Mus musculus: one gene and its partner. The protein of the gene in region 1 purifies or fractionates together with the protein of each later gene. This does not show direct contact. Links are inferred from orthologs where the notes say so. Each region holds a gene or a part of one and is shown on either strand. Other genes may lie near its edges.

Region 1 (4,570 bases):
CCAGAGGATCCGATATCCTCTTCTGGTATCCGTGGGCACCCCCCCAACCTCCCCCACCTCCCACGTAACAAATAAAAATCGGTTTAAAGGTAGGTCTGATGGTCAAGCTCAGCATCTTGCTCCTCTCCCAGCTGACCTGCTTACTCCTGGTGCCTACACCTGGTTCACAGCTGCTTGTAAGTCCAGCTCCGAGAGGGTTGTCCTCCACAAACACACATGAGTTAAAGTAATTTTTAGAGGTTAAGAAAGTATGAGGTTTAGTTATGCCCCTAACAAACTGGAACTGACTAGCTGACAATTTCTCCAAGATCCTCTTAAAAGGCAAGGATTTGGACAAATAAAAACTGGGCAGACATCATCCCTCACCGCCCCGGGGCTGCTGGGACCCTGTTGCTTTCAACTAGTTTTATTGAAATAAGTAGAGATGCTTTGAGGTCCTGGTTTGGCTAATGGAACTCTCAAGAGGGTAAGATAAAAATTCTTTATTAGGGAAGGAGGTCAACCAAGAAAATGATCAACAAGTGGTATCCCGGATGGAGCCAGTACCCCCTGCGGAAAGCAGGGAGACTTGTGGAACTGGGAGCAGCTCCCCTCTCTCTGGTGGAGGGGTTGCTGGAGGTGAGGCTGGACGGCAGGAGGGGAGGGCTCTGGGCAGCCCCATGTAGATGAAACTGCCAGAGAGGATGAAAGAGCTGCACACCAGGAAAGAGGCACTGAAGTCTCCTGTCTTATCCCTTAGGAAGCCTGAGAAGAGGGGAAAGGAATTTAGAAGCTTGGCATCTCAGGGGCAGAAGAGAGTCGTGAGCGAATCCGCGAGCTCAGCCCTTACCTGACAGAGGAGGGCCCAGGAGTCCCCCGAGGCTCATCAGCATCATCACCAGCCCTGTGGCCTGCACCACACCTCCAATGCCCACCAGCCCCGGGAGCACACCGAAAACCAGTGGGGCATAACTCCCAGCGCTCAGCCCATAGGCCCCAGCAGCGGCCAGCAGAGGAGCCCCCCAACCCTCCTCTGTCCCCACAGTGGGCACTAGTCCCATTGCTAGTACCCCTAACCCAGTCAGAGACCCAAACACCACCAGAAGCCTCGGAAGGGGCACCCAGCCCTGGTCTGCCAGCCATCCGCTGGCCAATCGGGCACAGGCATCTCCCACTGCAGCGACAGCCACCACTAACGCTGCCCCATAACCACCCATGCCTTGATCTAAAGCATGCGGACCCAAATGAACGTAGGGGACGAAGTATCCGCCCCCGATCAAGGCGGTGCCCAAAGCAAAGACTGAAAAGGCCCGGCGCTTGAACAGACCTAGGCCAAGGGCAGCTAGGGGGGTGCGAGGTGGGGCCAGCGGGTCACCAGAGAGAGCTAAAGGTCTTAGCAAGGCGCCACAGGGTGTGAGGTGAAGGGTGACAGCGCCAAGGAGGAGCAAGGCACCCCGCCAGCCGAAAGTATCAAGGAGGAACTGCAAGGCAGGTGCCAGGAGCAGCGAGGATGCCCCATTACCGGTGAGCGCCAACCCTACCGCCAAGACCCGACGGCGGGAGAAGTACCGAGAGAGGGTACCCAGGGCTGGGGCAAACACCAGGGCCCAGCCAGAGCCTGCAAATGGATAGGACAGGATGAGGGTACAGGCATGGCTTTGCAAACATTCTTTAGCCCCTCTTCTCCTCTGCACGCTCACGCGGACACACACACACACACCGCCTTGTACAGTCCCCTATCCTATAAGAAGTTCCTGTCCCCATTATCACCCCTTAAACATACAGCCACCCCACTCTTCTTACCAGCGAGGAGGCCCAGGCCGAGGTAGAGGTGCAGGAGGCTTCGGGCGAAAGCCGAGAAGACCAAGCCAAGCGAGGTTAGGACTCCCCCAACCATCACCACGGGGCGTGCCCCCCAGCGAGTGCTCAGGGCGCTGCCCACTGGGCCTAGAAGGGGGCGGAGTCAACGAAGACATGCCCCGGGACCCCCAAACTATCCGAAACATTTCTCATTGGCTGTTTTGCCTGGCCTGGTAACTCCTCCCATTGACCTCAAGACCCACTCTTCTAGAATTTGGTTCCACCAGTAACTCTCAGGTTGTCTGGTAATCAAGTCTGCTGTCTCCCATCACTACATCCACGGCCTCTCCACCCGGTGCCCGCCTCCCACCTCGGGGGGCCCCCCTCACTGGCTGCCTGCTGCACGGCCAAGGCCAGGGCGCTGACCCACGCAGTGTCCTGGGCGCTTCGTTCAAAGTGCTCCGCGAGGTCGGGGAGGGCAAGGCCCAGGGAGCGTAAGAGCCCGTAGGAGAGCCCGTTCACGGCGAATGCTGCGGCCGCCACCACCCAGCCCCAGCCCCCGTCCGGGGGTCCGGCCGGCTTGGGGGTCATCGCCGTCTGCTGGGGTGGGGAAACACCTGTGAATGAAGTCTCCACGCCTGGGCCTCCGCTAGGGAGCTGACGTCCCTGAGATCCAGCCTCGGGCTGCTCGCCCAGGGAGGGCACGTCGCCCGGAGCATGGGCGCGGGAACCAGGCCTAGGGATAGAAGTCCTAGGTGCGCGTGAGGTCCTGGGATGGAGGGGCAGCAGGATCCCCCAGGCCAGGGGCTCATCCTTCCCAAACCCTCTTTCTCTTACCCGACCTCTCCCGGCGTTGGGGGTAGGGAAAGGGCGAAGGTGGGTTCGGCCGGATTTTCTCCGCGCTTTCCGCAGAAAGGGTTCTGCGGAGCAGCTAGCCAGCACAGAGATGGAGCCCAACTTGGACCGCTCTCTCCAGTAAACAGAGATCACCACAGGGGCCCAAGCCACCTGGGACACGGGGTGGGGGTGGGGGTGAATACCGAGGGCGGGGGAAAGAGAGACAGCCAATCCACCCAGGCCTGGCTAAGGCCTGACGCCGAGTCCCACGAGGATTGAATTATCCACACACGAGCCCCAGCCCTGGTTGGGGAACCGCGAGGAGTGAGCGTACCTGGTGGCCGCGCCCCGCCTCTCCCCGCGCCTCTCACGCCGCGGGGCTCACACCCACGCACCTGCTGCGCACGCAAGAAGAGCCCGGTTGCACTCTTCGCCCGGCCAACTGCCCACGCATGAAAATAGCAGTGGTCTCCAAAACCTAAATGAGTTCTTGGATTCTCGGATTTGTTGTTGAGGATCCTGTAAAGCTCCAACATCAAATCACTCAAATCACTGGCCTCCAATGGACAACACCAGCATGCCCTCACTAGAAAGGAAGGCGAGTTCTCGGTACCAAGACCTGTGATGTTCCAGGCAGTCTTTACATACTTGGCCATTTCATCCTTACAATATCCCTATGAAGATGGCACTATCCCCATTTTACAAATGTAATAGCTGACCCCTAACCCACCCCAAAGCGTTCAGCTAAAAAAAAAAAAAAAATTGAACTTAGGTTTATACTATCGTGGGAGGATACAGGGAGAACAGACCTAGGAGTGACACAGAGATTGGGGACAGTTGAGGGAAAGAGCTTGGAGAGACAGATTGATGTGAACTGTAGTGGAAAGGACAGAATTCATGCAGAGCCACAGTGTGAGGGTGGCTGGGAATAGCTGAAAGGCTTGGGCAAGATTTTTTTTTTTTTAAGGAAGAATTCAGAGAAATAAACCCAGGTGTTTTTCTTGAAGATTTTAACGAGCAACCTTCTTTAGCAGTCACTATTGCTTTACTTCCGCCATTTGATTCATTTGGTTTAATCATTAAACAATGCCATTGAAATTTCAGCGATTTGCAGGTTGGAGCTTATATCAACCCGTAGCCACGGGATGGCGGTGTTTCCTAATTGATGAGAAAGTATCAGCCTAGAAAGGGAAGAAACGTAGCTGAGAAGTCGTGAAACTGGAAGACTAAAGAGAGTAGACAGACTTTCAGAAGCACATCACTGTGTTTGGGGAAGGCCTCACAACCATTAAAGGAGAGCCAGGCTACCTTCCCATCCCACACTCCCACCCCAGGGAATCAGCGTCCTCCCTCCTCAGTAAGTCTACCCTTTTCTCAGTTCTGGGTTTTCACATAAATGGTTTTTCTGCTGAAATGTCCTAGAACAGAAGACCATGAAGGTGTGAGGCCCTGCCACAGACACCTTAGGAAAGTGGCCTCACTGCATTCACCAGCCAGGAGCTGTCTGTGAAAGCCACCGGAGTGGTGGCGCCTGCAGGTACTCAGCCACCAAGGAGGCAGGGAACAGCTGGCTGGTTTCTTGAGAAGGCCAGTAAGAAGTCTGCTCTCTGTAAGTGGAACCCGGCCAGCCCAAAGGAATGGCTCTCTCCGTGATGAAATAGAAATACAGCCAGAGAGGAGACTATTTCTGGGTTGTACCAAATAATGCTGTGTACTTTGGCAGAATGCAAAATCCGGAGCCTAGGGTGATTGGTTGTGAAAGGGCATGTTCCTCGTCTTCCTCATGCTCATAGCCAGAGCCAATGTGTGTTGTCCATGGAGTTAATGAACATTGGAAAAGTGGACCCCCTACCTAGAACCCCAAGAAGACTTACTAAGCTTGACTCTCGCTTCGCTATCTGAGTGCAAACGAGGATCTGCTTCCTTGTTTTTCAAATGGTTATAATAACAGTTA
Region 2 (4,594 bases), on another chromosome or scaffold:
GCACATGTGGTTTCACACATACAGACTCACACAGGTAGGTGCAGTGATCTCTGAGAGAGCTGTGTTTAAGAAAACGGGCTATGGAGGGAGACTCACTTTAAACCTTCTGCTTTACTACTAAACTAACTCCACGCACTAGGCAATTGCTTAACTGACTGCCCAACTTCCTCTTTGGAAAATCAGGGAGGGGCTGGAGACATGGCTCAGCGGTTAAGAGCACTGACTGCTCTTCCAGAGCTACTGAGTTCAATTCCCAGCAACCACGTGGTGACTCACAACCATCTGTAATGAGATCTGATGCCCTCTTCTGGTGTGTCTTTAGACAACTACAGTGTACTCATATAAATAAAATAAATAAATCTTTTAAAAAAAGAAAGAAAGGAAATCAGGGAAAATAAAGTCTAATCCATCAGGCTACACACTGCACAGTGCAGTGCCTCTGACACTGTATTAGTACAGTAACTTACATTATTGATATTGGCCCCCAAAAATCTTCTTTTAGCAGAACACCTATTTCTAAATAGTCCAAAGTATAAAGACATAAGCACTCAATAAACCTTGCTGTATTGCTTTAGTAAAGACAATGTTGAATCTCATTCAAGTTAATACTGAATCTAGGAAGAGTTGTAGAGGCCTCACCACTTTATTTATCCTTTCATCTATCCATCTAGCTATTTGTTTTTATGTATATGAGTGTTTTCCCTACATCTATGCCCATGCCCAAGGAGGCTAGAAGAGGACGGATCCCCTGGGACTGCAGTTACAGATGGTTGGAAGCTGCCAAATGGATGCTGGGAATTCAGATACCAAGGCATTCAAATTTTGTAACTTTCGTCTGAGCTGAGTCTTCCAAGGAAGTCCCACGTTCCCCTGACTTTCAGCACGTTTATTTACAGCTTCATCTGCTTCCAAGTTTCTTCTCTATAGAAGCCAGGGGGGTACATTAACTTCAACCTGACGTCAGCAACAATACACCCTTGGGTCCTCTCGTGATTTTTGCCTGCTTTGACTCACACTGAGAATTTTTCCAAACTGCTAATGTCCAGGCTGACTTCTATGCTAAAAGAATCAGTTGTTTCTAGGGCAAGACCTGGAGATCGGTCTTTTTAAAGCTCTTGGGGAAAAAGTTCCCACCACTGCCAAGTGGAGAAGGCAAACTTCTAGAACTAACCCAAGAGACACTGAATCTCAAAACAATAGTGTAGGCTGGATTTGTAGTTCCAAGGTGGAGGTGCTTCTGTCCACGCAGGCCCACGCTCACGGAAAGGAGGAAGACAACAGCAGAGGGAAGTGCAGAGGGAAGAAAGAAGGAAGGGGGAAGGAGGAAGAAAGGAAGAGAGGGGGAGGGAAGGAGCTGGGAGCGGAAAGGGGAAGCGGGGAGGCAAAAGAAGCGAGTTAGAAAAAGAGGCTATATTTTTCAGAAGCATATGATAAATGATGCATGGAAGAGGACCGAAGAACCAGGTTCGCCTGGTAAGGTCATGTCCTAAACTATTATGATGGAAAACATGTGGAACAAGAAAATCTAGGGACTAGAAGAATCCAAGTTAACAGTGTGTGTGTGTGTCCTTTTGACCATTTTCTTTTATACTATGTTTAACCAATCTACATGCTATAACCTCATGGAAATAATTTATAATAGCGCAAAACCTTGTGTGGAATAATGTCTGGATTTAGTTCCCAGTAAAGCCAGTCTTTCAACTGCTTAAGAAAGTTAGTGGTGACTTAAATGGGAGCTAACCTGCCACAGACACAGGAACTTGCACTGAAAAGCATTGGATCGCTTGCAACACATAAAGTATAAAAAGGTGAGTTAAGGTGGCAAAATAGATCTTGACCCGGTAATGTTTTTCACGGAAATCCTTCTGTCCGCATGCCGTAAACACGCAACCCAACACCCTTGAAAAATGTTTTGTTTTTATAAAGATTGTTATGAAAAGACAACACACACGTCTAATTTTCTTATCTGGGCTTGTTTGAGTTGGCTGGCTATCGCGATTTTTACCCTCTGCTCTAAAAATCATACTCAATTTCAACACCTGCCAGGAGGAAAGGTGATACGAGAGCCTCGCTGTGGCTCTAATGAAGGGAGCCGGCCTCGCGGAATGTGGACTCATAATCATGCCACACTAGCAGAAGCCCCCAGTCTCCCCCGCACAAACCCACGCACTCTATTTGCCCACTTCCTAGGAAAAATCCGACCCTGTCTCACTACCAGCTCCCAGGATCAAACTGAGCTTTACTGGGACGGGATCATCCCTATACCCGGCGGATGCGGAGCCACCCGGGCTCCCACGTTTCCTCCTTGGGTAACCCGCGCCCAGCCAATGAAAGGCCACCCCCCTCTCCGCTCCGTAGCCGCCTGCGCCTGCATCCCCGCGGCCCCTGCGCGAGCGGCAAGGGATGTCGTCGGGCTGGAGGGTCGCCGCCACTGAGCCTCTTCCGGTGAACCCAGAGCCCTCCCCGCGCCAGCCCCCCGAACCCCCCAGGTACCTGTGGGATCGCCCTCAGCCGGATCAGGGCGCGTCGCCGCCAGAAGACATAGAAGGAGGAGCGGGTAACCAGGCGCCACAAGCGCCCTCAGGCCAGTGTGCGAGCGCATGGCGCGGGCGGGTCTGTCCAGGAGGTCGCTAAGGCACCCTCAGCTCGCTGCGATCCGTCTCCGTTGGTCCCTGTGTACACTTGCTGGTAACTGGGCGCCCACTGCCAGTCCTGGGGACAGGACACTCGAGAATAAACCGAGTGGGAGGGGCCCGGCCGCCCTGGCCTCCACCCCCGAGACGCTCCCAGCGCAATTGCGCCGGCCTTCCATCAATTATGCAGCCCGCAGCCCGCTACCGGCGCGCCCGGATGTGCTGTGCAACCTCGGCGCCGAATCCTCTCCCGCCCCCACCCTCTGGCTAACACAGGTTGGGGAGGGACCTAGCTCCTGGAGCCAGCCAGGTGTGTGTACCCCATCACCTCCCGGAGGGGTTGCAACTCCCCACAGAGTGTTCTTTCCATCCGTTGGATGGGTTCACACATTTACTTTGATGTGACAGGTGAAAAGGACCGGATAGTTCTGCTCCTATACATCTTTGGATGTGCAAAGGTTTCTTCTTACCAGACCGAGGGCGCTATTCAGTGCCCCCAAGCCCGGTACTTAAATTAATGTTTCTCAGAGCTTTCTATTAGTCGTGCATACCCTCCCCCTCTGAAGGTTTGGCCAGTTCCCTCCGGATTAAGATTTCAGAGTCCCTAGGCCCCACAGTGTGTTTCCCTTTGTTTGCTTGCGGCAACAGCTCTCCTGGCGCCAAAGAGCTCACCAAACAAAAACTAAGTTAAGGGGATTCTGTGTAAATGGCAGAAGGCCATTCATCTTTGTCAAACATTGTGGAATACAATGTTATCTCTTACCCACGCGGGGCCGGAGGTTGAAGTTTCTTACTCTCCTATCAAATAAATTGAGATAGTTCAAAACAATTGTTTTCCTATTCAGCGGGAAAGGCGTCTAGGTTAAAACTAGTGAGCCTTAAATCCGGGGCACTCAGCAAGCCCTACTTAGTAGCCCTTTGTCCCTTAGGAACCTCCACTCAGGTAAAACTGAAGGAAGGAATTAAAGAATGATGTGGTATGAAGCAGAGCTGGAGTTAATTAAAAAGAGGGTTTTCTCAGAGTAGATTTAAATATGAGGGCTAATAACAATAAGACACATCCAAGACCAGGTGCATGGGTTTCAGAGCTGTGTTTTAACAGTAACCATAAAGACCATTTTGGTGGCTCCCAAGTTACAACTCAAAGGGGCTGCTAAGAGCCCCTCCCCCCATCCCTCCTTTTTGTAGGGTGGCTACAGGGGCGCCTTTCGTGGAGTTACAGTCTGATAAGATCAAAACATGGACTGCAAGCGTTCTACCGGATAGTTAAGACATTTCCTTTTGTTGTAAATGGGGTTGCAGGTGAGATTCCTGGAAAACTGTGGGCTTATACATGGAGAAGAAGAAAAGTCATGTCATTTACGCTGAGGGCATTAAACGCGACCCGTAGCAATTTTTACCTTTTTGTTTGAGGTCTCTATGAAGATAATAGTGTCTCTGTGTAACACAGCAAATACTAGTTGTGATGGAATGCTTGCCTGAGGTGGGGGCAGGTCTATTATTATTATTATTATTATTATTATTATTATTATTATTATTATATATGAGTACATTGTAGCTGTCTTCAGACCACCAGAAGAGGGCATCAGATCTCATTACAGATGATTGTGAGCCACCATGTGGTTGCTGGGATTTGAACTCAGAACCTCTGGAAGAACAGTCAGTGCTCTTAACCTCTGAGCCATCTCTCCAGGGGACAGGTCTTTTCTGGAGTTTTTTGTTTGGTGTGTCTTAGACATAATTTGGCTGTGTTGCTGAGGCTAGCCCCCAGGCCCTGGAGTCATGCAGTTCCTCTATCTCAGCCTCCACGAATGCATGCCACAGCATGCCAATACATTGTGTGCGGGTGGGGGTGGGTGTTGCCTGCATGTAGGTCTGTATCGCATGTGTGCCTGGTGCCCATGGAAGCCAGAGAAGGGCAATGGATCCCTAGAACCTGAGTTACAAACAGTGTCAGCCAT

Evidence for each region.
Region 2: the proteins of Slc16a11 (region 1) and Emb purify together in Homo sapiens (co-immunoprecipitation; 3 studies listed by BioGRID and IntAct, counting the BioPlex papers as one, with this or other methods). This does not show direct contact. The link is inferred for Mus musculus from reciprocal best matches to the Homo sapiens genes SLC16A11 and EMB.

What each region holds. Positions count from the first base shown.
Region 1 is NC_000077.6:70,212,311-70,216,880, reverse strand, and holds Slc16a11 (monocarboxylate transporter 11), read right to left. Parts: upstream 2,972-4,570; 5' UTR 2,617-2,971; intron 2,516-2,616; exon of another isoform or gene 2,380-2,515; 5' UTR 2,371-2,379; coding exon 2,169-2,370; intron 1,927-2,168; coding exon 1,783-1,926; intron 1,598-1,782; coding exon 830-1,597; intron 745-829; coding exon 515-744; 3' UTR 467-514; downstream 1-466. UniProt on the Homo sapiens protein: Proton-linked monocarboxylate transporter. It catalyzes the transport of pyruvate across the plasma membrane.
Region 2 is NC_000079.6:117,218,857-117,223,450, reverse strand, and holds the start of Emb (embigin precursor), read right to left. Parts: upstream 2,879-4,594; 5' UTR 2,603-2,878; coding exon 2,494-2,602; intron 1-2,493. UniProt on the Homo sapiens protein: Plays a role in the outgrowth of motoneurons and in the formation of neuromuscular junctions.